Linked DNA regions of Lepisosteus oculatus. The main gene of each other region encodes a partner of the protein of the gene in region 3 in a complex. Links are inferred from orthologs where the notes say so. Each region holds a gene or a part of one and is shown on either strand. Other genes may lie near its edges.

Region 1 (7,252 bases), on a different chromosome or scaffold from region 3:
AATAGCTTAGTCCTCATGCAACATTTACAAGTCACTTAAATGTATCAGTCTGTCCAATTAATTAATATCATGCCAAAACTATTTAATCAATGTCCAAAATCCATCTGCTTTATCCTTCTAAAAACATAACTAAAATGGATGTTTAACAAAGTAAATTGCTGTTATAAAACATGGAACAACACCACATACTTTCTTCCTTAAAAAAAGATTACATTCAAATCTTTAATGTTTTAATGTTTTTAAGTTAACAACATCCAATACAAAAAGACAAATAAGTGCAAGTAAGTAGGTATATCCAGCTTGACAGTGTTGTGGCCTGTCAATTGAGTTCAATTTTAAAGGAATCATTGCCTAAACTGTATAAATCACAAGAAAAGTATCACCATTAGGTTTTCCTTTATTAACACACTTACCATGGTGATGTTGTTTCCATTCAATAAGATCTGATCCAGTTTGGTTATCCTCCTTCCCTCTGGTGTGATCTCACTAAAAAACAAGGCTTCCTGAAATAAACGATGCTACTAATCGATAATCACTAATAGTACAGCCTTAAAATGAAAAGAAAACTAACACAAATAAACAACTTTGTACCCATAAGCAATTCACAAAAATCAAATTCTCTGAAATGAGAACACAAGCGATTTTAGTAATGAAAGGTATTTGTGAATTGTGTTAAGATGACACTATGAATTATTAATTGAAATTAATAATACAACATTGTTGTTGATTTTTGACATTTTTATTAAGATTATGATTTTTTTATATTTTATTTTGCTAATGTCTAAAGGCAATAAAGCTAGAAGTTATTAAAATAGTGTACTCCAGTTCTGTAAAAAAATTACATTATGATCAGAATTTAACTCTTCAAATGCACGAGTCAAGATGTAAATAAAGTAACAGACTTTCTTATGTAAGAAAACAAATTGCAATTTGAATATGCATTAATTCAGTGCTCATTTTCAATGAGAAAATTAAAGATTTTTGCCTGTAACAATCTGAACATCATAGCATTTCTTATTTTAGCATGAACAAAACAAAACCTTACAATTCAGTGACATCTTCAAGCACCATGTCTGAGAATGCAAGTAAAGGAAAGCATGTTTTACAAAGTTAAAACCATAAATTGTTATGTTTTTAGTTTTCAGCAATAGATTTAGTATTTTACATCTTATTATATTTTAACGTAAAACAATTCTGTTATAGACACTGCATTGTGCATAAGCTTTCGTAAAACATATGCCAAGTACAATCTTACTGCAAGAAGTTGAATTTTTATGATGTGACCTTGCTTCACTTTAATGGAATTTTATCTCAGGCAACACAATACGCGAATACTCCACCAGACTGTATATTTTTGTCATGATACAATCTGCCATTCCAAAGAAAAGCAAAGATTCTATTATTCACCAGTTTATGACCCATTTTGAATTACAAAATGTGTCTGTATCTGGTAAAAAGGTTTTTCTTGGATGTGCAATCTTGAAATCAATGCTGAAAAAAGACAACATATTGAACAACCAACTAGCTCCATTACTTATTACTATTGATCAAAACTGTTAGTCTTAACTTCACATGTGATGATATACAACATCCATATTACTGTAAAAAGGATACTGACAAAGTCATCAAATCCCAACAGAGTGCCGACAATCTCCTTGTCGTTCTTCATCACAATATGAATCCGGGAACCAATACATTTGTCCACAAGCTCTAAAGAAGATAACGGGAGGGGAGAGGAGAGAACAAGGAATACTGTGATAAGATTTCAGCTGTTTCATAGAACTTAGCCACATCTGCTGACACTTCTAGGATACTGTAATGGTAAGTTACCCTTGTTATATAAAAACATCAGAATGACACAGGAGAAATCACTAGAACTGATTACTTCACAGACACAAATATAAATTAAGCGGACATTTTTAGACAGCAGCAGTGCTCATGAACAGACTTCAAGGATACGGGGGTTAAACATATTCGAAACAAGTAACATGATCAAAGAATAAACTGCTCCGAAAACAAGTTCATTGGATATCATCGACCTCATTAGCAAAATAAATGACATTTTTTCTTCTAAAATAGGAAAATTATATAAAAAAATGGATTTTCCTCTGCTCACGATAAATACAATGTTTTAATGATGTAAGTCGACACAATCGAGGAAGTTATTGCTGTAACACACAGCGTGAGACGGCAAAGAATAACCATACAATATGATGTGGAATTGTTTCATCTACAAGAAAATAATAATCCACAACTTCGTGCGGAAACTTGGAGTGTTAGAGACGCTGATGCCGTGTACACATATTACACATTGGCATATTACACATTTATTACAGTAAATGCCCTGCTTTATAAACAGATCCATTGCACCATGGAAATGATCGTTTGTTCCCTACTGCCTTATCTGGTTAATTAATAACATGACTAGATGGACATAGCTAGGTATAATTTCACATTAGCGAACATAAACCGTCAACGAACGCTTCTACTTTTTTTTTGTTCTTTCTTACTTTTTGGGAAATATTCGGCTAAACACTACAGCAAAGATTGAGACAGTACCGTGTTTGGACTGTTTAGAAATGGGCCAAGTCGTAAACAAAAATTAGTAATTTACAGGAAAGTTGCGTATAGACAAACTTAGCATTACAGTGCAATGAGGGACAGATACATAACTGCAACTCAATACTTCAATTCATAATTCAAAAAGAACAAAAACGAACGATTGGGTTAATTCACGGACCACCTGCACGTCCTTATTAAAACCGGCCAGTTGGCAGTCTTAGGCTATAGACGCTTGTGGTATATTTTTTAGATTGTAAAATGTACACCACCGACGGTACTACTTAGGCAGGTCTTAGTACTTCAACAACTTCGCGTTAAAATGTTTTGCTTCACGTTTAATTCACATACCAAGCGGGAGCAATTGTGAAGGGTTTGTAGCCGGAGCCGCCGCCATGTTTGAAGGAAGGTAGACTCGACCAATCGAAGAAAACTTCAACGTGCAAATCAGACAGAAACAATCGACACCCGACCGTCACCTAATGTATATTAGAAAACAGAGCGGTGTGATGTTCTTCTGCTCGCACGAGAACCAGCTCAAGTTTTCAAGTTTGTTGTCATTACACTCATATACATGGTATATGGTATAACGAAATGCTATTTAGCTAGCTCTCGGAAATAAATAGTACAAATAGAAAAAAACAACAACAGGCAATGTGCAAAAAACAACAACAGGCAATGTGCAAAATAACAAAAGGGTAACAGGTTATGTGCAAAAATATGCATCAACAGAATAAAAGGGATAGAAATGATGGGGAGTGAGCTTTTGACATGTATGGTAGAGGTAGATTTTCAATGTGTGTTTGGATTTTTGGTAAGAAAGAAAGGAAGAAGGCACTGTGAGGTTCAGATCACAGGTGAGAGGTGAGAGTGAGAGTGAGAGTGAGGGAGGCTGGGAATTTAACTATAGAGGAGCTTCAAAATAATTAACTTCACCGAATAGTGTACCTCAAAGCCTTTTTCCAACTGGCGTGTAAACATCCAATCTTTTAGACGAATTCAAAACATTGGACCGCGGCGTTTGATTAAGTTGACAGTATTAATAAGTATTCTCATGACTGTAGTTCAGGTGGGTAGCTGCGTCAGCATGCGTAGGCTGCAAAGGAACAAGTAATAGGTTTATTCCATGCTGAAAAAAAGAAGAAAGAGAACACAGCGTTTCGGCCACACCTGAAGAAGGCTCCAGGCCGAAACGCTGTGTTCTCTTTCTTCTTTTTTTCAGCATGGAATAAACCTATTACTTGTTCCTTCTCATGACTGTTTCCAGTATTTTTTCCGTTGTTTTAATACCTAGCGAAGACTGCTCAGGCCTCTGCCAAATGACGAATCGTGGTGTGCTTAATCACTGTACGTTTGTTATCTATAATGTCAGGCGATGCGTGTGCGCCCACGGTATGAGCGAATTAAAACGACCAGGTACTTCTGACCATGTGAAACGGGGAGAGTGTTCGCGTGTGGCGCAGTACGTGTACACCGCTACGGCAGCGGCCAGGTGTGCGGCGAGGCTGGACGCGCCAGTTCCGCCTGCGGCCGTGCGGGGGCGCTGCGGGGCGGAGCGGCTCCCCTGACGTCACCCGCAAGGCGGAAGCGAAGCCGCTGGTGGCGGAGAGAGGCGGCCATCAACACCGGCGAGCAGGAGCCCCGCAGGTTCAGATCCCGGCGAGAGTCCGTCTGCGGCTTCCCTACAGCGTCCGTTCGCGGCCGGCATATCCGCGGGGGTGGGGTGGGCAGCCATGGAGCCACATGGGAGAGAGGAGCCCAGGGGCCCCGTGCTGCACATAGTGGTTGTTGGCTTTCATCACAAGAAAGGCTGCCAGGTGAGATGCGGTGAGACAGACTGAGAGGCGGTAAGGCACTGGGAGCCGCACGTTGGGGGAAAATGTTTCCCTGCCGCTGGCGGAGGCGCTTTTGACCACTGCAAAAGCCCGGAGTATGTTCTGGAAAACGCGACGGGGCGCCTTTCCTGCTGGTTGTGTTTTCTCGTTTGCCTGTGGTGGGTGGGGAGTGAGGGCTTGAGTCAGTGTCAGCCGACAGAAATACAGCAACACTGTTTGGAAAGGGGGTGTGGGACTCAGATCGGACCTCGCATCCACAGCAGCGCGATTCGCCCAGCCCGGGTGACAAACTGCTTTCTCAACCGTGCGAGACAGCCCATTTTAAAGCCTGCCTGCGATTATCGCTGATTGCAGATAAAAAAAAAAAATGCAATACTTCCAGGTCCGTGAACGATCGTGCGCGTTTATGGCTCGTTTAGCAGAGAATTGGATATGTGCATTCAACAAGGAACCTTCTGTTGCATAAAGCCAGCCGATGGCTAAATTCAGCATCTTGTGTTTGCAGAGATTGCTTCACTAATGCGGAGCACTGATGTTCTCACATATGAAGAAATCAGTCCTCTATCAGATAAACGGCCGTTTTTCGTGTTCCCGGACATACTGTAGGTCAAAGATTGTGTGTATTTTCCTTTGCTGTACGTAATATCTCAGGTTCCACAAATAATACTAGAGAGCCCCTAAAACAGCTTCTTACAGATAGGCCTGTGCTCTGTAGGGTTTTTTGAAGGCAAATACTTTGTTTAGTCTAGTTATCCGCGGTCTGTTTTCAGTTAGACGTATCTAATTAATTTATCGGTGTTGTCACCACACCACACGACTGCAGAAGCTGTCCTTTCCCCTCGCCTATGTCTAGGCTGCACTGTGATATAGCTGTAAGGGTAGGGCTTCAAAGTTTCGGGCTCAGATCTCAGCAGGGGTCCCAGTGTTGTTCCCCTGAGAACCGTACTTGTCCTGTAAAGTCCCCAGCTGTAATGGGTAGAAACGTCAAGTCCACCTCAGTGTCGAAGAAGGGTCTTTTTGAAAAATCGCCTCCACCGTTTTCTGCAGTACGGAGTGTAAACTGTTTTCAGGATAGGGGAATGGCACTAGCGGAACAGAGTGTGCTTTCATGATGATAAGTCTGACGGAGAAAGTATTAGGTAAGAGGAATATGAAACATCCAGCAAGCTTTTGTAGAAAGACTGCATATTGACACTGACATGTTAGCAGTAGTGTCAGAAAATCCTCTGAGCGCCCTTGTGGTCAGGCCAATTAAAGCCGTGTACTGTGCGAAAGCGCTGATCTAGGCAGCTGAGGGTGTTTCTCTGTGGAGATCAAATTCTATTGTACTCCGTTAGGATCTTGTGAATGGCGATGGGGAAACAAATTACAGAACAATTGCAAAAATATAGAGAACAGTTTCTGATACACTTAGCTCAGAGTAGATTGCAAAACGTTAGAGCTATGTGCAATACGTATGAGTGTATGGATGTTGGGAATTGTGAAAGTGCCAGAGATAAGTCATATTCAGAGCTACTGCTTGCTCCTAAAAACACCAGGACCTGAGGGGTGTCCCTTGTATGTGTGTGCATGTAGATGCTTAAACTTTGCTTAACCGTTTTTATGCTCTTGGGTATAATATCGTGTAAGGTCACTTATTTGCTTGGATGAAAATCAACTTTCAAATGCAGGACAATGCTGCTATAAACTAGACAGTATCTCTTAAACATTTCACTGATGGGTGCCCAATTAAGCTGAAAGTGATTGTGGTCTTTCACTAACAGTTGATAAAGGATCCCTGAAAAGCTCAGGTGCTGCTTGCAGTAACCTGACACTCTCCAAGTTGTTTCCATGTGAATTTGAATGCCACCTGAAGTATACATTTCACTCACCAGTCCACCATGTTTCTGTAAAGCTGTTTGACAGCACTCAGTAGCAGGCTGTAGACGTGGGCAAGGCTCAGCTGAATTGTAAAACATTTGCAAACTGGGCACAGCACATCAGGTTTTCCTCCTTGGTGAGCTGGAGGGAGCTCACAGCGGGTTTTGTTTCAGCAGGGAAAGGACTGACAACGGCTTATCTTTGGCTTCAGCCTGGGAGGGCAGGGGACGTACATCTTTCTGACCACTGCAGGCTTGGAAAAATCAAATGTCTTGCAGATCAAATGCAGTTTGAGATAATTTGGCTTCTGTTTGTTTGTCAAGTAATTGTCAATTCTAACAAGATTGTGGACACAGACTATCAATTAGAAATAACTGGCCTCGGTGTAACAAGTAACTTGGTAAACACAGTTCTTTGACATGTAATTTCTGCCTTAGATAATCTCACACCACTAAAATTAGAACTACCTCTTTATATGCAGTAGGTTGCTGTGGGACTTATACATATCTATGCCTATATATGCTCTAGAGAACCATAACAAATGATCAAGGAACAAGTTATAGGTGTATTCCATGCTGAAAAGAGAAGAAAGAAAACACAACGTTTTGGCCGTGGAGCTTTCTTCAGGTGTGAGTAAGACTGTTGGTAGGGATATAAGGTGACAAAATACTGTGGTGATGATACAGACTTAAATACTTCTCACTGAGAGGAAGAAAGATTCACTTCCAAAATGAAATCAGATCTTTGATAATCTGTGTCTCTGTTACCGCATCAACATAGTAATTCTGTTTTATGCAGTCCAAGACCTGTACTGTATCATTATTTGATTAAATGTTTGTTTTTTAATTTTGAACTAAGTAAAAATCGCGGAAGACTGTACTACAGCATCATGACCACTTTGTGAGCTGATCTCATCAGAAACTGGGAATTTAGCAGTTCTTGCCCCAGTCAGTACTGGGTACGGAGGCCACTTGGGGAATATCGGTTTGTGGCTATAA
Region 2 (7,270 bases), on a different chromosome or scaffold from region 3:
CGGGCAGTTCATCCATGGCTGTCCTCTGGTCTGAGATCTATTCTGCTAAACTAATTTGCGGTGTGTGCCTCGACTTCATCTCCTCAGGAAAATTCCTAGGTGAAGTGAAAATAATCCTATTATTCCAAACTATACCTATACATAAAGATACTGGACAAAAAAAAACAGAAACTCTGAATTGTCACTTGACAGGGTGTTGGGCCACCACCTGCAGCCTGTACAGCCTGTATGTGCTAGGACATGGAGTCTACCAGCATTTTGAATTCTGCAGGAGGGATGTGGCGCCATTCTTCAAGGAGAAAGACAGCCAACTCACTCCGGATTGGCAGAGGTGGAAAATGATAACTCAGGCATAGTGCTAGATTATCTCATAACTGCTCACTTGGGGTCCGGTGAGTGAAAAGACCAGAACATGTGGATAACATCAGTGTCTTGCTCAGACCTATGGCCCACCACTCATGCTCTGTGGGTGGAAAGAAGAGCTGCAACACAGGCTGAAGATAAGCACTCAGTACCATTAAGCAGCGATTACCATTGATCTTGCCTTCTAAGGAAATGAGCACACTCAAACCATTCTTGGAAAATGACAAAACCACCAGGACCCAACACAGAACCAAATAATACCCATCTATGAATTGGCCTCATTACTCTCTGCTCTCCTCCCCACTGATAGCTGGTGTGTGGTGAGCGTTCTGGCGCACTATGGCTGCCATCGCATCATCCAGGTGGATGCTGCACATTGGTGGTGGTGGAGGGGAGACCAGAAAAGCGCTATATAAGTGTAAGCAATTATTATTATTATTATCTATCATATCCCATTTCTTCACTGCTCGGCAGTCTAACGCCTGGGCTCGCCAGAGTGCACTGCAACATGGCAGTTGAAATGGGCTGAGATGTGCAGTCAATCGATCTGCAGTTGGACATTACAACCCCGGAATACGCACTTTTCCCACTTTAGACACCGATGCTCTCGAAACATCAGCCCGGCGAGCTGTCAAACGCGCCCAAATATCCACCCCTTTTCCAAAGTCACTGTGGTCCAGTATTTTTAACACTCGCAATCCCAAGCTTACCCAGAGTATTTACATTTTTGTCCACTACCTCAACAATCACACAGGAGCATTTTAGACATCCCAGTTAACCTAGCCAGCATGTCTTATTACAAACTGTTGTAATATAAACCTGCTTCCGAAACGTAGGGACGAGAGTGAAAAGAGTAGCATAACCAAAACTAACTGATCATGCAGCAATAGTGCACAGTACTATTAAACCAAAGGCACATTGCGTCAAACAAACACCATTACATACCAGAACGTCTGCACTTAGCGAAAACAACATTGCAATTTACTGTATTAAATCTTTTGATATAAGACAGAACATACTTCCTGAAGAAAACAAAACTAAGTCACTAACCCACATTCGCATGCCTCAGGAGCTACAAAGAGCGGCAGAGTGCAGTCAGCGCCTGCGTATAACAGGCAGGCTCTACAACCAATACACGGCTCCTTCGCTTTCTGTTCCGGGGTGAGAGTCCGCCTATCGGATTTAAGGGGGCGGGTTATGGCAGTGCGGGCGAACAAGGAAAGGCCCAATTACATAGACGTAAAATAAAAATACTGTAAATATTATCCAATCAGAATCGTCAGTAGCCTGATGTTCTTTTTGCAGACTCTCGCCCTATTGTGTTCGCGGGTGGTAGCTTCGAATACAGGTGATAGGGTGAGAACACGTCGGTTGAGTTTACAAGTTTATTTGATAATAGGGTTTTGATTCGGACTTGAGTAAAAAAATGATGGAGCAGAAGAGATCAAGAAATTAGATGGTGTCCGCGGCTCAGTCCCAGCATCTTAAACAGATACGATTATTGAATTCAAAATACTTCATTCATCCCCAGGGGGTCAATTTAAACAGCAAGCGGTGTAACATGCATCGCGAGTGCAGAAGTAGTTATAAAATCTAGCCAGCAGCCATATCACCCTGCAACTCACAACTGGCAACCCACTGAAACTAAGTGGGTGTGAGCCTGGTCAGTACCTGGATGGGAGACCTCCTGGGAAAAACTAAGGTTGCTGCTGGAAGAGGTGTTAGTGGGCCCAGCAGGGGGTGCTCACCCTGCAGTCCATGTGGGTCTTAATGCCCCGGTATAGTGAGGGGGACACTATACTATAAACAAGCGCCGTCCTTCGGATGAGATGTAAAACCGAGGTCCTGACTCTCTGTGGTCATTAAAAATCCCAGGGTGTTTCTCGAAAAGAGTAGGGGTGTAACCCCGGTGTCCTGGCCAAATTTCCCATTGGCCTTTACCAATCATGGCCTCCTAATAACCCCCCTCTATGAATTGGCTACATTACTCTGCTCTCTTCCCCACTGATAGCTGGTGTGTGGTGAGCGTTCTGGTGCACTATGGTACAGGTGGTGGTGGAGGGGAGTCCCCATTACCTGTAAAGCGCTTTGAGTGGAGTGTCCAGAAAAGCGCAATATAAGTGTATAAGTGTAAGCAATTAATTACACTGACAGAGACTGAAGACCAAGGTTGAAACGGACACTTCCACACAAAGCACTAGGTTGTTTGAAGATTCTATTTTAAATAGTATATATTACAGAAATTACAGACAAATTGGTGGTTTATGCCACAATATACTTTGTTTTTGTCAAGTGTTTTATGTCATGATGCTTGCATTTGTACCCCAAAACACTTGGAAATCTGTGTAGTTTCTAAATAATTGGCACTGATAACCGCTCCTTTTTACTGTCTGGTTTCTATTGCAGTACTTAAAAACAGAACATTTTTTTTCCAGCCACTTTTCTTAATTCAGATTATTTTTCTAAAACTTAATTGCAATGTAAAATACAAATAGTATCATCTACCACGGAGGTGGCAGTTTACTCCAGGGGTTGACCTCTTCGTGGTGCGGTGGCTCTGTAGCTAAGGATTAGCGCCTGTAGCTGGTGGAAGGTTGCCAGTTTATACTGTATCCCGCAGCTGGCAGAAAAATCCTATTCCGTTCGGATCCTGAACAAGGCCCTTAAGCCCTAACTGCTCCAGGGGCGCTCTGACCCCAAGCTTCCCTTCCTGTCTATATCTCCTGGAGAGCAAGCTGGGGTATGCAAAAAGAGAAATCCTAATAAAAGAAATTGTATATGGCCAGTAAAGTGAACATGCACAGGGGTCAATTACTTGTCAAATACTCCCAGGCAGTTAACCGAGATAATTTGACTGTTTGATTAGGCCGTTGACACACTGTAATGAGCACCCCAGCTAAATACCTACATCATAAACCACCAACAAACATTTCCATGCCTATGCTACAAAGAACCTTGCAGCACAAATTCCAACATCCTATAAGCTGACGTAGTAATAATAATAATAATAATAATAATAATAATAATAATAATAATAATAATAAACTTTATTTTATATAGCGCATTTAAAGGTGACTTCTCAAAGTGCTTTACAGAATGACAACAACAGTAAATAAAAAGAATACACAAGATAAAACACAATTTCAATATACAGAGGAGACCATGGATGGTGGTACTAAGAAAAGCAGAGGGGTGAAGAATGGAACCAGTTCAGTAAAGGCTTTTCTAAAGAAGAAGGTTTTGAGTCTGGATTTGAAGGAGCTTAGAGAAGGTGACTCTCTGACATCCTTGGGCAGAGAGTTCCAGAACTTGGGGACATAACAGGAGAAGGCCCTGTCATGTAGACGGGCTTGGGGGACAGTAAGGAGACCAGAATTAGACGAGGGAAGGTTGTGAGGTGGGGAGTAGGGCGATAATAGTTCAGACAGGTACTGAGGTGCCAAGCCATGCAGAGCCTTGTAGGTGAGCATGAGGATTTTAAAGTTCACACGGAATTTGACAGGAAGCCAGTGCAAGGACTCCAGAATAGGAGTAATGTGATCATTTGCACTAGACCTGGTCAGGATTCTGGCTGCTGAATTTTGGACATACTGCAGTTTGTTCAAAGTAGATTTAGATACCCCAGCGAGCAGATCATTATAGTAGTCAATTCGAGAGAACACAAATGTGATCAGCTGTCCGTGCAGCTACGTACACTGTCCATTCAGCTTTTCAGTATAACAGACAGGCATTTCAACCAATACACAGCTACTCTACTTTCGGTTCCGGGGTGAGAGTCCGTCTATCGGACTCTAATGTTAGGCGGCGGGGCGGGTGAAAAATAAGGCGACCAATTACATAAGACGTAAAATAACAACCTCTAAATGTTATCCAATCAGAATCGTCAGTCACCGGAAGTTCTTTCTGCGGATGCTCGCCGCGTTTGTGTTGTTGGGTGCTCTTGGATGTGGTTCGGAGTTTAGCTATTTAGTTGAAAAGGCAACGGTTGTATCGACATATTCATTCGAAAGTAACGTTTTGATTTGAAATTGAGTAAAAAGAAATGATAGAACAGAAGAAGAGGAAGGGAGTAGGGCCAACGGAGATGGCTCTGGTTCCGACGAACAAGAGACCAAGAAATGAGCTGGTGGCCGCGGCTCAGTCCCAGCAGCTCATGCAGATGGTAGGAACTAAAAATACGTTGGCTGAATAATGCGTATAGTTCATTTTATTTTACCGAGCTCTTTGTGTTCTGCGAATTATAGCCTAAACGACACCAACTTGTTATTTACATTCGAGATATGGATGTTTTGACACACTGTACTGTTTTAAATTGAGTTCCGCCTCTTCTTTATTTTTTAATAACACCTGTTATTTGTATTTGAAATCGTGGTTAATATTTGGTAACATCAGTTCATGTTCGTTGAACATTTCAACGGCCTCAGTGCTTGATTTTGCAGTAGTGTTCGTGCAGGTTTTGACCTAAAATTCACCTAAGTTTCATACTAACAAATCATATTTCTGTTTAACAAATCAGATTTATCACAGCAAACAAATTGCTTTATAATCCTAATGCTTAGTCTGAAACTACACTGCATATATAGTATGTGTAAAGTACAATAGACAATTTAAATGTATTAGTTTGTGATCTGATCATTACATCCTGTTTGTGAAACGTTAATTTCTTCTTTGCTTTATATCATTTTTAAAACCGGGCAAAGATTGCAACGCCGAGTCTTCAAAGAAGAAGATGCGAAGGTTGTGACAAAGATGTAGTTTATCGAGGACTCCGGTCCATACACAGGAAGCCTAGTCTTAATTCTAGCTGGGAAAGTTTGTTTTGCCCTGTTTGAAGTTTAAAGATATTTTTTGTTAATGAGAATTCTAAAACATATCTGTAAAAGTACATTCTTAGAATACATTTTGGAATTGGGGAAGGTGTTCAGATGTATATGAAATCGTTTGCTGAACACAGGATTGTGGATGCAAAAGCCTCTCGTCTTAAAGACAGTCCTGCTCAACTGGAGCTGATTAGATTTTATTGTGCTCTTTGCATGAACTTCTGCCCTGAATATTATGGCTAATCTGACTCTGTACCCTCTTGTCTGTGTAATCACAGGGCCCCCCACGAAGTTCCAGTTTGCAGGCTCCTATCATGCTTCTCAGTGGCCATGAGGGAGAGGTCTACTGCTGCAAGTTTCACCCCAATGGGGCCACGCTGGCATCCGCAGGCTACGACAGGCTGATCTGTGAGTACTTGTGATCAGTTTCTTTTCCTGAGGTAATAAAAACACATGTATTAGTTCAGGTGGGTAGCTGCGTCAGCATGCGTAGGCTGCAAAGGAACAAGTAATAGGTTTATTCCGTGCCAGGGAAAAAAGAAGAAAGAAAACAACGTTTCGGCCGTGGCGTTTCGGCTCTTCAGGTGTGAGCAAATCGCATGCATGTTTGGTGTGTTGCGATTGGAGTAGAAGCAAAAGGACACTTAGACTGTGTGGCCAGCCTCTGTTCACCAGACCCCTAAAACAATTCTTTACAAAGTATGAGAGAGTACGACTTCACTCTTGTGTTTCCTAGGAAAGACTCGATTGAATACGATTTGTTCAAGGAATTTGAAAATCTCCTTATTTTTTTTTGATGAAGCAGTTGCATGTCCTTAGGGGTTCAGTACCCAAGATCATTTAAAAACAGTGTGTACAGAACATTCTCGGGCTTAATCTATTTTTCTGCTATTTTTGCTTTCAGTGCTATGGAGTGTTTATGGGGATTGTGACAATTACGCCACTCTGAAAGGCCACAGTGGAGCCGTCATGGAGTTGCATTATAACACAGATGGCAGGTAATGTATATATACCTAAATTGTTTGATTTCTACAAAGGTTCTCCTTAGTTAAATAAGAAGATTGTGTTCATATTAATGGGTTTTTTATTCATAAACGTTATGCAGCAATGTAGTTTAATTCCTCTACTTTTCAACAGTACGTTCTAGGTCCTTTTGTGTTGCTTACTGTATGCTTAGTTGAGAGCTTATTATTACTTTGAATCTGAGCAATCTAGCCTGGCAACATCTCACACATTGGACACCAAAGCTGTGTACTTCAAACAGTAGTTGATCAGCTGACTGCTGTGTGTGATTCTGGATTTAAACTTTATTTAGAAGATTTTAAGGGGCAATAGTACACGGAATCAGATTATTCACATTAATCTGTTACCTGTATCATTATTGTACTTTCAGCATTCCTTTGGTTCTGTTAACATTTCTAGACTGGACACCTCACAGAAATGCTTTAAAAAGACAGTATTATAGTGCAAAATAGAGCTGAAATGTGCCCGAGCTTCATAATCCTGTATAGCTGGGAGAGTGGAATAGCAGGGGGTGATATGCCATAATGATTCCCAGAATGACAGCTGCACAAACACAGCCATAACAGTGCTCTAGACACAACAGCCAGAGCTCACCATACACGGCATGCAGTATAGGTTTGATACAAACCCATATAGAAACACAGAGTTTAAAAGCCCAGCCCTTCTTCGAGCTTTAGCTAAACGTCTGTTTTCTCCTGTAAATCTGGCAGCTAAGGTGCTTACAAGCTACAAAGCAAATCTCTCTCTCCCAAAGTCTTTCCCAAAAATAATCTCTGTTCCAAAAATTATTCTTGTCTTTAAAAACTTTTGTCACTCCAGTGGCCGGTCCTTCAGTCACTTCCTTCTCCTTCTGATGTGGGTTGTGTAGGATTCCCTGCTCTCCTTCTACACAGCAGAGGCAGGTGGCCAACCCGGAAGCATCAGATTCCTAGTTTTAAATGTCACCAACCAATTGTCTTGCTCTGATTGGTCAAGTGATTGAAGATGGCAGTTCATTCCCCACATAACCCTCACTCCACAGCATTCTGGGGAATGTGGTTCAGACAAGAATCTCCACCCTGTCT
Region 3 (7,551 bases):
GTCCAGTCTGTGGGGGTCGATGTGTCGCAGTGTCCAGTCTGTGGGGGTCGATGTGTCGCAGTGTCCAGTCTGTGGGGGTCGATGTGCCGCAGTGTCCAGTCTGTGGGGTCAATGTGCCGCAGTGTCCACTCTGTGGGGGTCGATGTGTCGCAGTGTCCAGTCTGTGGGGGTCGATGTGCCGCAGTGTCCAGTCTGTGGGGGTCGATGTGTCGCAGTGTCCAGTCTGTGGGGTCAATGTGCCGCAGTGTCCACTCTGTGGGGGTCGATGTGTCGCAGTGTCCAGTCTGTGGGGGTCGATGTGTCGCAGTGTCCAGTCTGTGGGGGTCGATGTGTCGCAGTGTCCAGTCTGTGGGGGTCGATGTGCCGCAGTGTCCAGTCTGTGGGGGTCGATGTGCCGCAGTGTCCGGCCGGCACTGATGTAGGGTCCTGTCCTCTGTACTGTCTTGAGTCACACGCTCTCCACCAGGTTTGTCAGGAGAGGCTGCAGTTCACCCTGAGCGAGAACGTCAGCAGAAACGTCCTGTGGGGGGCGCCGGTGAGCGAGGCAGTACAGCTCCGGCCCTGGGGGCAGCCCGACGACAGAGAGAGGGACACGAAGGAACGGTGAGGACCACAGGGCTCCGGGAGTCCAGCGACACACAGTGCATAGCTACACACAGCCGGTCAAAGTCCTGGTTCTCACGGATGGCTAGTGTCCGATTGTGAGATCCCGATGCTGGTGCTGATGCTCTAGAACCGAACCACCTCTGTCAGGGAGAGCTGCGGCTGTCCTCCCTCTGATGCCTGCTCTCAGATGTAGATGCGAAACTAGTATCTCCAAATTTGGGAGGAGTGAAAGGAGAAGTTAAATTATTTGATTTACTTAGATTTAAATAACCCAGCAGGAGATAATCGCTGATCACTCAGGTTTCTGTCCTACATTGGTCTTAATTTTTGGATCCTGTCGCTTATCAAGCTGAGTGGTTAAATTGTCTAATCATTCTTCTTAGAGCTGTTTTTACACCCTGGTGAGAGACGTTTCACCTGGGCAGTCATCCTCTGCCATGTGAGGAGGAATAGCCTTCTGAGAAGTGATAGAATTGTATTATAAATTCTCTATTTTCATGTTGTGTTAAAGTTTAGTTACTTATTGATCACCCATGAGTGTGACCATTTTCGTTCTTTTTGCTCATCTCATCTTCCTTTGTCTGCAGCAGATGTGATGTTACGTTTGAAAGTCCCAAGGACAGCAACTTTGAGTCTCACCCAGCACAGCTTCCTGGGAAGGTGGAGAATATCGACGCTGCTGTCAGTGATCCAGCTGTCATGATTGGACGAGACGCAGGGGTTACACCTCCTCTACCTGTTACCAACCAATCAATGAAAGGTAAGACTCCCAGTGCAGGACAAAATACAATTTCTTAGCTCACATTCTGTGTATATATAAATGGTATCTGTTTTAAACTTTCTCCATGCTAAATGTGTCTATAGGGTCTGTATTGATCCCTCTGTGTGTGAGGAGTGTATCTGGGGTTTGTATTAGGGTCTGTATTAATCTCTGTGTGTGAGAAGTGTCTCTGGGGTCTGTATGAGGGTCTGTATTAATCTCTCTGTGTGAGGAGTGTCTCTAGAGTTTGTATTAGGGTCTGTATTAATCTGTGTGTGAGGAGTGTCTCTGGGGTCTGTATTAATCTCTCTGTGTGAGGAGTGTTTCTGGGGTCTGTATTAATCTCTTATCTAGGTGTGACTCTCATTGTTTCTCTTCTTCCAGCGAAGCTCGCCCGTCTCTCCCTCTCCCTGCCCCCTCTTGCTCTCTCTCTCCCTGTCTCACCCAACCCCTGCAGAGGATTCTGGGAAGGGGCTGAAGAAGGGGTCAGGGTAGGTCGCCGAGGGAGAGGAAGTGACCCAGATGAGGAGGAGGAGGAGGAAGAGGACGAGGAGGGGGCGGGGCGGGTGATCGTTGTCACGGAGACAGATGTGGAGAGGCGGCTGGGCCTGCGCAGTCTGCTGAAGTCTCCTCGTGAGCCGATGGAGAGAGAGAGGGAGGGCGAGAGAGACAGATCACGCAATGTGTCCTTCTTTGATGATGTCACCATTTATCTCTTTGATCAGGTCCGTTTGTCTGTGTGTCCATCAGTACTGTCAGTCTGTGTCCATCAGTACTGTCACTGTGTGACTGTCAGTCTGTGTCCGTCAGTACTGTCAGTCTGTCCATCAGTACTGTCAGTGTGTGACTGTCTGTGTGTGTCCATCAGTACTGTCAGTGTGTGTGCCACTGTATGTTTTCTCTGCTTGTGTATCCCATTGTGTGTGGAAACACTGGGCGAGTCTGATGGAGTCTCACACTCTGTTCTCCTCCCTCCCTGCAGGAAACGCCTACAAATGAGCTCAGCTCTGGCTCTGCCCCCACCAGCCCCACCCCTTCCTGTGATGTCACAGGAGACCCCGCCTCCAGGACACAGGAACTGGGTTGGTCCTGTTACGTTAGTAACCTGCCCTGAACACCTTGTGTCTCATTAATAACTAGATGAGTATATGATCCTGGCCTGGACTATAGATACTGTACTCTCTACGTGTGGTAATTTATTGTATATCAGTGAACTGGTTATTATATGGTATCCGTGTGTCAATTAAGGACTACAGTTTCAATGTAGATGAATAGTCCTATTACAGCAGGAGCTGCAGTAATTGTGTATTGCAACAGCAGGGAAACAGGTAGATTATTTTGCTCCATGCTGAGAGGAAAGGGGGACTCTTCAGGCACAGGATTCCTCAGGGAGGAGAAGTTGTTTGCTTTGCAGAATCCACTGCTGTTATTCCCCTCCTGTCCACTAGGTGTCGGAGGCGCCAGAGAGGACCCTGTGATCGGCGTCGGGGGGGCGGAGTCCAGGCTGCCGGCGCTGCCGTCCCGGTTCACTGTTAGCCCCGCCCATGACCCCCATTTAGTCTGAGCGTCCGAGTGCCCGCCCCCCCCCCCACCCCCCCCGCCGGCCACGCCCGCTCGTGCCCCGGTCCCTCTCCTCCCGACCTCTGACCTCTGACCTCCGGGAGGGCGGTGTTACCTCTGAGGCCCCGGGTTCGAGCCCCTGGGGCAGGAGCTGTGGAGGAGCGTGGGGGTCGGTGTCGGAAGAGGTCGATGATCAAAAGCAGTTTTATTTATTTGTCGGAGGGTCACGTCTGTCGGCACCGGACCGCTTTAGTGCTGCAGGCCGAAGAGTTAGGGTTCTGTCGGGCCCATGTCTGTGCCTGTACTGGTACTAGAACTGGGTTCTACTGGACCTGCACAGCTGGACTAATAACTCAATATGAAGAACAGGTCTGGGAGAGGAGATCACGGCATATTTCTAATATTTACTTTCTTGGTCTTAATAAACCATTTTTTACAATCGTTGTTGCTGAGATGTCTACTGACGCTGTCTGTGTTTGTGTCTTGTTTCTCCTCTGTTTGTTGATTAATGTCAATTAACTTGCGTTGTTTAACGAGCTGGTTTCAAAATATATTGTACAAATTAAAAGATCGGAACTGTGACACATTTAATGAAGTTTGATTAAAATAAATTGTACTGTCTTCTATTAAAACATCTCTAGACTCTCATTTATGTTCTTAGACTCAGTGTCCTGTACAATAGGAGCTACAGTCCCAGTGCAGTAGAACAGTCTGTTACAATAAGAGCTTCAGTCCCAGTACAGTAGAACAGTCCTGTTACAATAGGAGCTACAGTCCCAGTACAGTAGAGCAGTCCTGTTACAGTAGGAGCTACAGTCCCAGTGCAGTAGAACAGTCCTGTTACAATAGGAGCTACAGTCCCAGTGCAGTAGAACAGTCTGTTACAATAAGAGCTTCAGTCCCAGTGCAATAGAACAGTCTTGTTACAACAGGAGCTACAGTCCCAGTGCAGAAGAACAATCTTGTTACAATAGGAGCTACAGTCCCAGTGAAGTAGAACAGTCTTGTTACAACAGGAGCTACAGTCCCAGTGCAGTACAACAGTCCTGTTACAATAGGAGCTACAGTCCCAGTACAGTAGAGCAGTCCTGTTACAGTAGGAGCTACAGTCCCAGTGCAGTAGAACAGTCCTGTTACAATAGGAGCTACAGTCCCAGTACAGTAGAACAGTCTGTTACAATAGGAGCTACAGTCCCAGTGCAGTAGAACAGTCCTGTTACAATAGGAGCTACAGTCCCAGTGCAGTAGAACAGTCTTGTTCCAACAGGAGCTACAGTCCCAGTGCAGTACAACAGTCCTGTTACAATAGGAGCTACAGTCCCAGTACAGTAGAACAGTCTGTTACAATAGGAGCTACAGTCCCAGTGCAGTAGAACAGTCCTGTTACAATAGGAGCTACAGTCCCAGTGCAGTAGAACAGTCCTGTTACAATAGGAGCTATAGTCCCAGTACAGTAGAACAGTCTGTTACAATAGGAGCTACAGTCCCAGTGCAGTAGAACAGTCCTGTTACAATAGGAGCTGCAGTCCCAGTGCAGTAGACGTCACTAATCTCACGCTGCGTAACCTGGAGAAATCACATGGGCACAACGCGTTCTTTTAGGCCTCCACGCGAGAGCGACTGTGACGTCATCAACCGGCGACGGGAGGTGACGCAGTTTGTGCGGTCGGTGTGCTGGAAGCTGTGAAGCTCGAACTGTTTTCGCTTAGATCTCCGGACCTGGTTTGTTTATCTGACCACCCGAGAAGCAGAAAGAAGGGGAAGAGGTAAGAGATCGCTTCCTTTCGCTGGGGCGGAGAGTGTTTCAGTCCCCGGAGCGCTGCTGTAGAGGACTCTGCGGTTTCAGCCGAGTCTCTTAAGATTGATGAGATGAGGGGTTTGTTGGGGCTCTGCTCTCTCTCAGATGTCTTTGGCGGACGAGCTGCTGGCGGACCTGGAGGAGGCTGGAGACGAGGGCGACGAGCCGGGTCTGTACCCGGGGGCAGAGGGGGCCGACGGAGCGGACAGCGATGGGGAGGGTGGGGCGGAAGGCCCGGGGGGGCTGGCTGACATCCCGGAGGAGATGGAGGTGGATTACAGCGGCACAGAGAGCGTCACCTCCATCGCCAAGCTGAGACACAGCAAGTCGGTGAGTCCCGCCTGTATCCGCCTGACTGCAGACTGCTCGGTGTGAGAGACAGTTAGTTCAGGGCTCGGTTTGTGTGTGAGAGAAAGACAGTTCAGGGCTCAGTGTCTCTCAGGCTGTGATTGACGAGGTGTGACTTGTGCTGTGAAATACCTCTGTTCTTTGTCTTTCTAGTTTGCAGAGATAATGGAGAAGATCAGTCAGTACATTGGTAACCAGCGCAAGACCTCAGAAGGTAAGAGCGAGTGGGTGGCGCCGGCGTGATGCTGTGCTGGCAAGTCTGTTCTGACCCGACTCTCCCTCCCTCTCTCACACAGTCTCTGGGCCGGTGGAGGCCGACCCGGAATACAGGCTGATCGTGGACGCCAACAACCTGACCGTGGAGATCGACAACGAGCTCAGTGAGTGTCCGGCCTGCAGCCTTCCTCCCACGACTCTCAGCACAAAGGGGTGCCCACTGTTCGCAGTCCTGTGCGCTCTGTGGGTCCTTTCTTCCACACTGACCATCTCCCCCTCTGTCCTGCTGTTCCTCTTTCTCCCAGATATCATCCACAAGTTCGTGCGAGACAAGTACTCCAAGAGGTTTCCAGAACTGGAGTCTCTTGTGCCAAACTCTCTGGACTACATCCGCACTGTCAGGGTAGGAACCTCAGTCCTGACTGACTGTGACTGGAGTCCCTGGTGCTGTTGATCTGGGCCTGGCTAACGTCTCAGATTCCTGAGCTTAAACTGCGTGACCAGCTCACTATCTGTTCCTCAGGCTGGGACAGGAGTTCACACGCTGTATTATTATTATTATTATTATTATTATTATTATTATTATTATTATTATTGAGAGACAGGCTCACTGTCTGTTCCTCAGGCTGGGACAGGAGGTCACACACTGTATTATTATTATTGAGAGACAGGCTCACTGTCTGTTCCTCAGGCTGGGACAGGAGGTCACACACTGTATTATTATTATTGAGAGACAGGCTCACTGTCTGTTCCTCAGGCTGGGACAGGAGGTCACACACTGTATTATTATTGAGAGACAGGCTCACTGTCTTTTCCTCAGCAAGGGACAGGAGGTCACACACTGTATTATTATTGAGAGACAGGCTCACTGTCTATTCCTCGGGCTGGGACAAGAGGTCACACACTGTATTATTATTATTGAGAGACAGGCTTACTGTCTGTTCCTTGGGCTGGGACAGGAGGTCACACACTGTATTATTATTATTATTATTATTATTATTGAGAGACAGGCTCACTGTCTGTTCCTCAGGCTGGGACAGGAGGTCACACACTGTATTATTATTATTGAGAGACAGGCTCACTGTCTGTTCCTCAGGCTGGGACAGGAGGTCACACACTGTATTATTATTATTGAGAGACAGGCTCACTGTCTTTTCCTCAGCAAGGGACAGGAGGTCACACACTGTATTATTATTGAGAGACAGGCTCACTGTCTATTCCTCGGGCTGGGACAAGAGGTCACACACTGTATTATTATTATTGAGAGACAGGCTTACTGTCTGTTCCTTGGGCTGGGACAGGAGGTCACACACTGTATTATTATTGAGAGACAGGCTCACTGTCTGTTCCTCGGGCTTAGAAAAGGAGGTCACACACTGTATTATTATTATTGAGGGACAGGCTCACTGTCTGTTCCTCGGGCTGGGACAGGAGGTCACACACTGTATTATTATTGAGAGACAGGCTCACTGTCTGTTCCTCGGGCTGAGACAGGAGGTCACACACTGTATTATTATTATTGAGAGACAGGCTCACTGTCTGTTCCTCGGGCTGGGACAGGAGGTCACACACTGTATTATTATTATTGAGAGACAGGCTCACTGTCTGTTCCTCGGGCTTGGAAAGAAGGTCACACACTGTATTATTATTATTGAGAGACAGGCTCATTGTCTGTTCCTCAGGCTGGGACAGGAGCTCACACACTGTATTATTATTGAGACAGGCTCATTGTCTGTTCCTCAGGCTGGGACAGGAGCTCACACACTGTATTATTATTGAGACAGGCTCACTGTCTGTTCCTCAGGCTGGGACAGGAGCTCACACACTGGGCTGCCAGTTCAACTGAGTTCTCTCCTGCCCCTCCCAGTAGGATTGGGAGTTTTTGTGTTTCTGGCAGGTGTGGGAATTCTGGGATTAGATTTGTAAAGTTGGGAAAGAATTTCTGTTCATGGAGGTTGTTTTTACAGACCTATGTGTGTAGGGCTTTTATGAGTGTAATCACCGAGTGTGATCCTGGTCTGTGCGTGTACCTGTCTTGGTCTCAGGAGCTGGGGAACAATCTGGACAAGTGTAAAAACAACGAGACGCTGCAGCAGATCCTGACCAACGCAACTATCATGGTGGTCAGTGTGACGGCCTCCACAACGCAGGGGTGAGACTGAGCAGCATGGTTGCACGCTGACCGCTGGCTGAGTGACTGACTGACTCACAGATGATCCTGTTGAAGTGCTGTATCCCCGTGTGGAGTCATACGGACTCCTGT
Region 4 (7,604 bases), on a different chromosome or scaffold from region 3:
CACCCGCCACTCAGAATTCCCACTTAAATCTTGGGACACATGGCACCCTGGATATAAATTCCTCCAGGTCATATGCCATTTCAACTTTGAATTTTTCTGCCCATTTTGTACTCATTTGTATTGGGATTCTTGGGGGAGGGAAGCCTACAGCTCTTTATATTTGGTAAGGTTAGATGTCACATATACTCACCTCTTCATCAGACTCAAACTGTACATTGACACCATACGTTTCATCAATATTGTCATCTACAACACAAAAATGGTAACATGAAAGATTATCAGGAGAGAATGCACATACAATATTGTTCTGCGACACATCTTTCCTATCCAATTCCTATAAATGATAAATCCATTTAATTTTGTATTAATCCTAATCTAGTAAGCTTCAATACTGTAGGACTGGCACACACCTACAAATCATCAATCACTATTAAACAAAACAGGTGTTTTCACCCATTAAGATCAAGAACCAAATATAACAATGCAGGCTTAAATAAAATCCACAAGGCCGCAGCTCTCCAGGTTCTAGGCTAGCTGCCCCTGTGATAAAGTAACAGGTGGACTCTGTACCCATATTCTGGAGCTCCTTGTCTCCTCCGTAGTCGCTGATCTTCTTGCCCAGGTTGACCAGCACATGGTAACGCGTGTCGTCAGTGGGACCCAGCAGCTGCTCAATCTCCTTGCGTCGTTCCTTGTCTCTCATCTTCTCGTTCTTCAGCACAGCCAGCACCTCGTCGGCTGCCCCACACAAGATGTCTCTGGGCTTCAAGGACATTCAAAATGCCTGATCAGTCACAGGGAAGAAGCCTCCCTCATCTTGACATTTTGCTTTGAAAATGCTATTAACCCCCATCTCTTAATGTTCTAGTAAACACTCTTAAAAGCTATGTTACAACCCAATGTAACTTGTTAATATTCTGAGATGGTGCCAATCATGACAAAAATCACGATAAAGCAGTAATATATAAGTCATTAGGCAATAGGATGATAACATTTTGTGATGAAGCACATACACCACAACACACCTTGCAAACATACCACACTGTGTTGCAGAAAAAAACTTCCTAAAGCTTCCAGTAATGTGTCAAAACACCACAAGAGACTACTGAAACACGCCCCTCACCTGGTCTCCCAGGGCAGCCTGGATGAAGCTGAGAAGAACCTCATAGGTCTCCCTGGTCTCCTTGGTTTTGGGCTTGTAGACGATGCCCACCATCTCATCGATGCCCTCTGACAGCAGGGTGAAACCCTTCATCTTGTTGATGTCATGCCGGTCCTCATCTCTCTTCCTCCTCCTGCACGAAGAACAAGTGGGCACAGGGTCGTCAATCTCCCCTGAACCGCTCAGCCAGAGCCTCAGCAAACAGGATCCCACACTCTTCCATTAAAGTGGGCTTAAACACTGCAGGTGCCTCAAAGGTAACTCTGCACACGATCAGTCCCATTCTGTAAAACTACACACAAGGACTATGTAGTTCCAGTCCTTGAGGATTACAAGGCTAGCCAAACCTGTCTAGAGAGCCAGCATCACAAAAAGCATCCACTGATCTATTCCCATTTTACCACATGCACATACACGATTAAAAAAAACACACCAGCATTCAAAAGGTGTATATTTACACGTAGTAATGTACCCAATACTGAATTTTCTACATATCTTTATTGTATTTCCTTTACCAGGACATTTTATTTTCAAGTGTTTTTTCCAGGTCTACACGTTTCCAGGAAAAGCCTGCACCGGGAAATCTGGCTATATTATGCGGATGGCCATGTTCACAAACATTTGGCCACTATGCCATGTTTACACACCACATGCTCATAAAACAAAAAAACTCTTCAGGTGGCAAACACTAGTCCCAGGACAGCAAGGAAAGACTCTGAACTCGATCTATTAAACCCATATGGTCTTACTTGGCTCTTCTCTCCTCCAGCATCTGTGGCTTTGTCCTCTGGGACTTGTCCCCCATCTTGGTACCATCCAGCTTTCCCACAAGGGACAGAACCTCACCTGTGGGCTCATCGCGGCGAGTCCGGTCGATCAGAGACCGATCTGCTTGCAGTACAAGATTAGAGTTCTGTTCGGGAGAAAAAGAAAACATTCAGGCCACAGCTCTGTATGCATCATAATTTTAGACCAATACAAAGTACTCTGAACAGATGCTGCGTAAATATCAGTGATCAGATGAGGCCCTACTGGCTCCTTCACTAACTCTATACCTCCTCTCATTTCTTGCTTCCGACTCACCTATTGGGATCTAAACCAACAGCAATGTCAAAACTTGGAGACCCAAGGAATCTGTAGATATTCATTCTAGGTCAGCTCTTAATCCTAATCATAATTATTGGCTTAATTGGCCATTTAAACCTCCCCGGATCTTTGATTGCTGCAACTTCAAAGAAACCTGCTTAATACCAGAGCTTCTGAGGCTCTGGTACAAAATAAGAGGGGCTTATGTCAAAGCCAAAGTATGCAATGGAATAGCGCAAACTAAGCAACAACTCACCTTTGCTGCATACAAAGGTACACAGACCTCTTGTAAACAGAAAAATCAGCCCTACATTGGGAACTGAACAGTCCCATCTCACCCCACACTCGCGGCGTAGGGTTGCAAACGTTTCACTTTTTCCAGCTTGCAATGCAAAACTTACAGAACGCCACAAGCTCGAATACAACAAAAAGTTATAGTTACATTTGCACTGGCGCGCTGTTTGTGCTACTTACGGCTTTGTACTCGTACTGCAGGCTCCGAGCAGTTACATCCGCCATGGCTGATCCGGCGCTTCACACGCCGACCTCCCCGCTCAAGCCTACCTCGGCAGAAGAAAGATAAGATATCTGTTACGTCTGTAAACGATTTCGTTTTGTATCCAGGGATCTCCCTTACTTTTACGGCTACAGGATAACTGTTTAGAGTATTTAGGAATTAATTCTCAGCCCCCCTCTACTCTGATCACTTCCCTCGCGTTGGCTGTGCGTTTCAAAAACACACACGCCACCGGGCCCACTGCGCAGATCACTTCCGCTTCCGGGGCACGGTAAAAGTAACTTGTCATGTGGGGAGGCGGGAGGTCAGGAGTCCAAATACGAGGTGCTGGACTGTGCTACTGAAAAAAACAAATAGCGAGAATGTTGCAGTATAACATGAGATGCATATGTCTAGTATTGATTATGAATCGAAAACAGTAATTGCACTATTAAATTGAGGTGTGATTATGTTACTTACACGGTTTGGATCAGTACTTCTTTATTTTTGAAGTATAAATAAGATTTTAACAATCTGAAGATGTTTTAATTTGCTTGCAAATTATCCCTTTATCACCGGTTGTGAACGTAACATGATTTAAATGACATTTTTTATGAGAGTTGGAAAAGCCATACTGTGTCATGGGTAATTATTATGCTACTTTGGTCATTATTAATATTAATAATTATTATTAATCATGGTACTTTTTTGACTAATAATGTAACCTTTGTCCCAGGTTTCGAGGACTTTGAGCCAGGAAAGGTGCCCATGAGCTAAAGAAATATGAATATGTAACTTGAAAACTAGCTTTTTTCAGATTCTCGAGTGTTCCTTAATTACTGCAGGGCACCAAGACAGACTCATAGTATTTTAAAAATCCCTGTTGGAGCAATTGTTTGTTGTTACTCATAATTTTAATTTTGCTTGGCTTCTGTAGATTGATTATGTAACACCCTAATACAGTTAAGTCAATAATAAGATTTTAATTATAATATACAATAATCTTTCCTGCTACCGGGGTGATTTATCTGAAGATGTATCATTTGAGCAGACTGAAACAATGCATTTGTAAACAAGAGAGAATTTTTTTTTGTAAAATGCAAAAAAGAAAATGTTTAAATGTTTCTGAGTACAACTATTACAATGTCCTTGTAACTCCAAGATCATGAAGAATTGGTATACTGTTCTGTGTTTGTTGAGATCATTTGATGTAACTCCTTTTTGCACCACACAGTAATTTTCTGATCCCTCCTGTGATCTAAATAGCACCCTCATTGTTTTCATCCTCACCTGAAGCTCTTGCATCTCCATCAAGCGAGCGCCTGATTGCCTCTCTGTGCAATTGTTCCCTTAGTAGGTCTTAGCTAACAGAGATTTGCATACCTCATTCACAGAGTTCAGCCTTCATCCCCCTCATCTCCAATTTAAATTGAAATGCAAACTCATCTTATACAGAGAGAACCTGAACAAATACCGAAAGAGATATGAAGATGAATAGACAACTATTCTGTGAACAAAGAGCTAATAGTCAGGTGTGGTCACATTATTTTATTTTTTAAGAGGTTAATTCACAAGACCTTGATAGCATTCAAGCCTTTGATACGTATTGCAACTATGAAAAGGCCATGACAAACGGACTTTTTCCAATGCATCCATTTTCTAACAGCTTCTTCCAATCCAGGGTCGCAGGGGCGCCGCAGCCTCTCCAACAAGCAACAGGCGCAAGGCAGGGTACATCCTGCACAGGATGCCAGTCCATTGCAGGGCACACAGAGTCACACACTCCCACCAGGGCCAATTTTCCCAGAAGACAACCTACCACTCTTATTTTGGTTTGAGGGAGGAAACTGAAGCACCCAGAGAAAATCAATGCAAACACACAAACTCCACACAGATAGCACGCACCACTGTGCCACAGCTCTCGTCACAAAAGCATATTTTGTTACTTACAAACAACCACTATAAAATAACTATTTACATATGAAAGTCTTAACTTAAAAGTACTGTATACAAGGAGGAAAGAGATGATGGGTATTTCTTCCCTATATCTACACTATTGACATTTAAAGCACAGATATTGCAATCAATTTTAACAAGAGCAGTATGGGCCCACATCTACACCAGCAGGCCAGACTAACTACAATGGAGCTCACATTTGTCATAAGATTAGGGAAAAGAACCGTACAATTTAGGGGAGAAATGGAAAGGCAAAGCTTTTTAATACTTCTCCTGTCTGTTGTTTGTGACCGGAGACGATCGGCCAATAAAATTAAGAAAGCTTGGTTACAACCGTGATGTGCACATAAGCACAATAATTGAAACCATGTGATGAGTAGGACCTCTTACTTCTGCTATGTTTACAAAGGAATAAACTTAGGTCAGGTTCACACCTACAGTAGAAAAAAATAACAGCCCTTCCACATATCAACAAAATATGTTATAATATGCCTTTTACATTATAACAGAGCAAAGTGACAAAACAGTTTGGAGGCTGACACCAACTGTTTAAATCTGGAGTGGGTTCAAAGGAGTATCTAATACTGCAAAGGAACAAGTAAGGGTTAATTCCATGCTGAAAAGAAATGCCCGTACTAGTAATGTCATTTTAAAACACATAGGATTTGCTCTATGATTCTGTGGGATTATCTGTGGCTATTTTGGCTTCAAAGCTCATTTGCATTGCTAAATATTTCTCCAGGAATGATTAACACTATATTGGTAAGGCTTTCCAGTCTTTCTCTGTCTTTGTGGGTTGTTTCTAAGACATTAACTCTGACTTTTAAAATTCATTATAATGCAGCTCATACAGAAGTATTTAACCTGCATTCATATATGCATCTTAAATAATTCTCCATCCTCAAGCTATTGCATTCAGTAATTTTTCTTGTCCTTTGTCCAGTATGTTCTTATTTAGAAGAAAACAATTGTGAGATTAAAGCTATGTGGAGCCCTGAACCATATTGTATGCACTTTAAAAATATCTTATAACACAGTAATAACATTCTGTTCCTACAATGCATACACAGTAGGTTTCTGTGTCACAGGGTACTAAAGCAATGCATATAATAGGACATGTATACATCTTATAGAAATTCAGCATAGAATTTCACTTTTAGTTTGCTCTAAAAGTGCTGGAAAAACCTTACAGGACCAGGGACACTGTTAAGGAAATTTGGCATAGCTTAGTTAATCTTTTTATTCAGCCTAGAAGGAAACATAATACTGTAGAAGAGGAGCTGATTTTTTAAAACAGTTTATTTATTTTTTTCAATGTCGAAGAAGTTATTAAAATACACACAAAGACTGGGATTTGCACACAACTCATATACAAGAAAAGAGAAAAGAATCCAGTTAGGTTTTACAGCTTTTTGAGAACAGTTTTTTGCAGGAAAAATGTAGCTGAGAACTGACAGGTTATTTCGAGTGCATGCTTTTAATTAGCACAGGCAATCACATTTGCTGTGTGTGCTCCTTTTAAACAAATTCTTGACATAAAGTCAAACATAGCTTTGTCCCTCCTTGTCACCTTGTGTTATTCAGTAGTGCCCTTGTCAGTAGGCATATTGTAAGGGTGCTGATGCTCTTTGAAAGTGCCAGAAGGACAACCTTTAATACTGAAGTCATTACTTTTCAAAAGAGCAATGGAGTAAAAAAAACATCTCGTTTCCAACACTGCAACAGAAATACTCTGCTTTGCACTGACCACCTGCCTGTGTGTGAGGAGGAAGCGCTATAGACCCAAACTCTTGTCCAACTCACATCCGTGAGACCCACTGTGTCTTTGTCCTAATGAATCTTCCAGTTGCTGGGTTAACCATTTTCCAACTTTTAAAATGTGACAGATTTCAAGTGGCCTGTCAAATCACACACGTACGTTAAAAGCTCCGATATTTCGCATCATATTTTCTAATTGAAATCTTTTTTAAAATGTCTTAAAAATAACTTTAAATGAATCATTATCTGATTTAATGGCACCAGGATTGCTTTAAGGAAAAGCCAAGGGCAAAACAACAGAAGACCAGTGGCCTGGGTGTACTCTACCAGCCTATTGCAAATGCCAAACCACTTTGGACTTGTGTGTCGCCACACTCCCTACAGGCTCCAATGTAAAATTAACAACTACAGTTCCTTAAATAAGTTCCTTAAATATTCAAAGTGCTTTTCAAACAGGAGGAAACACTTTACCTCCACCACCGAAATACAGAAGCCAGCCACTTGCTTGACCTTCGGCAGCCACTATCCAACAGCTGTCTAACTACACAGCAGGTCGGGTGAAGATGTAAGAAATTTAAATTAGGTTTTTTTGGTGTTTTAGAATATGTTATCCCAGAGTGGAATTTATCCAGGACCTGCCTGGGATCTTCTAATGGTCAAGGAGGTAGGGATGTAGGAAGTATCATCTCATACATCTTATCAAATATCACTGATGTAGGTCATAACCGTAGAATGAACAAGACAGAATTATATATGTATGTTAATTTCTCAGTTTCATTAAGAATACATGAAAAAAATACACATTTATTCTAGGTTTAACTTAAAATGCCTAGGCATGATGAAACAAAGTAGTTGTAGTTGTGTGCCTAGGCATAATTTGTATTTTTATTGCCTGACTGGCAACCCAGAGAAAGGACATCTCACACCTCCAGAGGTTGTGTGCACCCCAAGTTATGAGCCACCGGTCTATACCATTCAAATAGCTTTTACACTGTAACATATCACTTAGTTGCAATACTATTTCGATATTCTTCACCATGCAAACATCTGACATAGTCTTGGCTTGCGAGAAATGGGGTCTTCGAAACAAACTACAGCGACCACATAGGTCTGCCTTTCCCACTTGTATTGCAACTGGAGCTTTGA

What was found.
Region 1: prpf31 (region 3) and lsm5 share a complex: the UniProt entries of both Homo sapiens proteins name them as parts of the U4/U6-U5 tri-snRNP complex. The link is inferred for Lepisosteus oculatus from reciprocal best matches to the Homo sapiens genes PRPF31 and LSM5.
Region 2: prpf31 (region 3) and snrnp40 share a complex: the UniProt entries of both Homo sapiens proteins name them as parts of the U4/U6-U5 tri-snRNP complex. The link is inferred for Lepisosteus oculatus from reciprocal best matches to the Homo sapiens genes PRPF31 and SNRNP40.
Region 4: prpf31 (region 3) and snrnp200 share a complex: the UniProt entries of both Homo sapiens proteins name them as parts of the U4/U6-U5 tri-snRNP complex. The link is inferred for Lepisosteus oculatus from reciprocal best matches to the Homo sapiens genes PRPF31 and SNRNP200.

The regions. Positions count from the first base shown.
Region 1 is NC_090701.1:6,000,848-6,008,099, forward strand, and holds the start of lsm5 (U6 snRNA-associated Sm-like protein LSm5), read right to left. Parts: upstream 3,016-7,252; 5' UTR 2,957-3,015; coding exon 2,911-2,956; intron 1,822-2,910; coding exon of another isoform or gene 1,819-1,821; exon of another isoform or gene 1,739-1,818; intron 1,711-1,738; coding exon 1,615-1,710; intron 1,074-1,614; coding exon 1,046-1,073; intron 487-1,045; coding exon 414-486; intron 1-413. Other genes in the region: late secretory pathway protein AVL9 homolog, read left to right, coding at 4,293-4,376. UniProt on the Homo sapiens protein: Plays a role in pre-mRNA splicing as component of the U4/U6-U5 tri-snRNP complex that is involved in spliceosome assembly, and as component of the precatalytic spliceosome (spliceosome B complex).
Region 2 is NC_090706.1:10,109,681-10,116,950, reverse strand, and holds the start of snrnp40 (U5 small nuclear ribonucleoprotein 40 kDa protein), read left to right. Parts: upstream 1-4,253; 5' UTR 4,254-4,405; coding exon 4,406-4,525; intron 4,526-5,461; coding exon 5,462-5,591; intron 5,592-6,087; coding exon 6,088-6,181; intron 6,182-7,270. Other genes in the region: zcchc17 (zinc finger CCHC domain-containing protein 17), read right to left, coding at 1-16. UniProt on the Homo sapiens protein: Required for pre-mRNA splicing as component of the activated spliceosome. Component of the U5 small nuclear ribonucleoprotein (snRNP) complex and the U4/U6-U5 tri-snRNP complex, building blocks of the spliceosome.
Region 3 is NC_090718.1:264,645-272,195, reverse strand, and holds the start of prpf31 (U4/U6 small nuclear ribonucleoprotein Prp31), read left to right. Parts: upstream 1-4,550; 5' UTR 4,551-4,692; intron 4,693-4,829; coding exon 4,830-5,054; intron 5,055-5,225; coding exon 5,226-5,286; intron 5,287-5,368; coding exon 5,369-5,452; intron 5,453-5,593; coding exon 5,594-5,691; intron 5,692-7,333; coding exon 7,334-7,440; intron 7,441-7,551. Other genes in the region: serine/threonine-protein kinase LMTK3, read left to right, coding at 467-603, 1,194-1,366, 1,751-2,091, 2,349-2,448, 2,815-2,930. UniProt on the Homo sapiens protein: Involved in pre-mRNA splicing as component of the spliceosome. Required for the assembly of the U4/U5/U6 tri-snRNP complex, one of the building blocks of the spliceosome.
Region 4 is NC_090697.1:70,222,795-70,230,398, forward strand, and holds the start of snrnp200 (U5 small nuclear ribonucleoprotein 200 kDa helicase), read right to left. Parts: upstream 3,001-7,604; 5' UTR 2,768-3,000; coding exon 2,723-2,767; intron 2,076-2,722; coding exon 1,912-2,075; intron 1,296-1,911; coding exon 1,124-1,295; intron 764-1,123; coding exon 571-763; intron 247-570; coding exon 191-246; intron 1-190. UniProt on the Homo sapiens protein: Catalyzes the ATP-dependent unwinding of U4/U6 RNA duplices, an essential step in the assembly of a catalytically active spliceosome. Plays a role in pre-mRNA splicing as a core component of precatalytic, catalytic and postcatalytic spliceosomal complexes.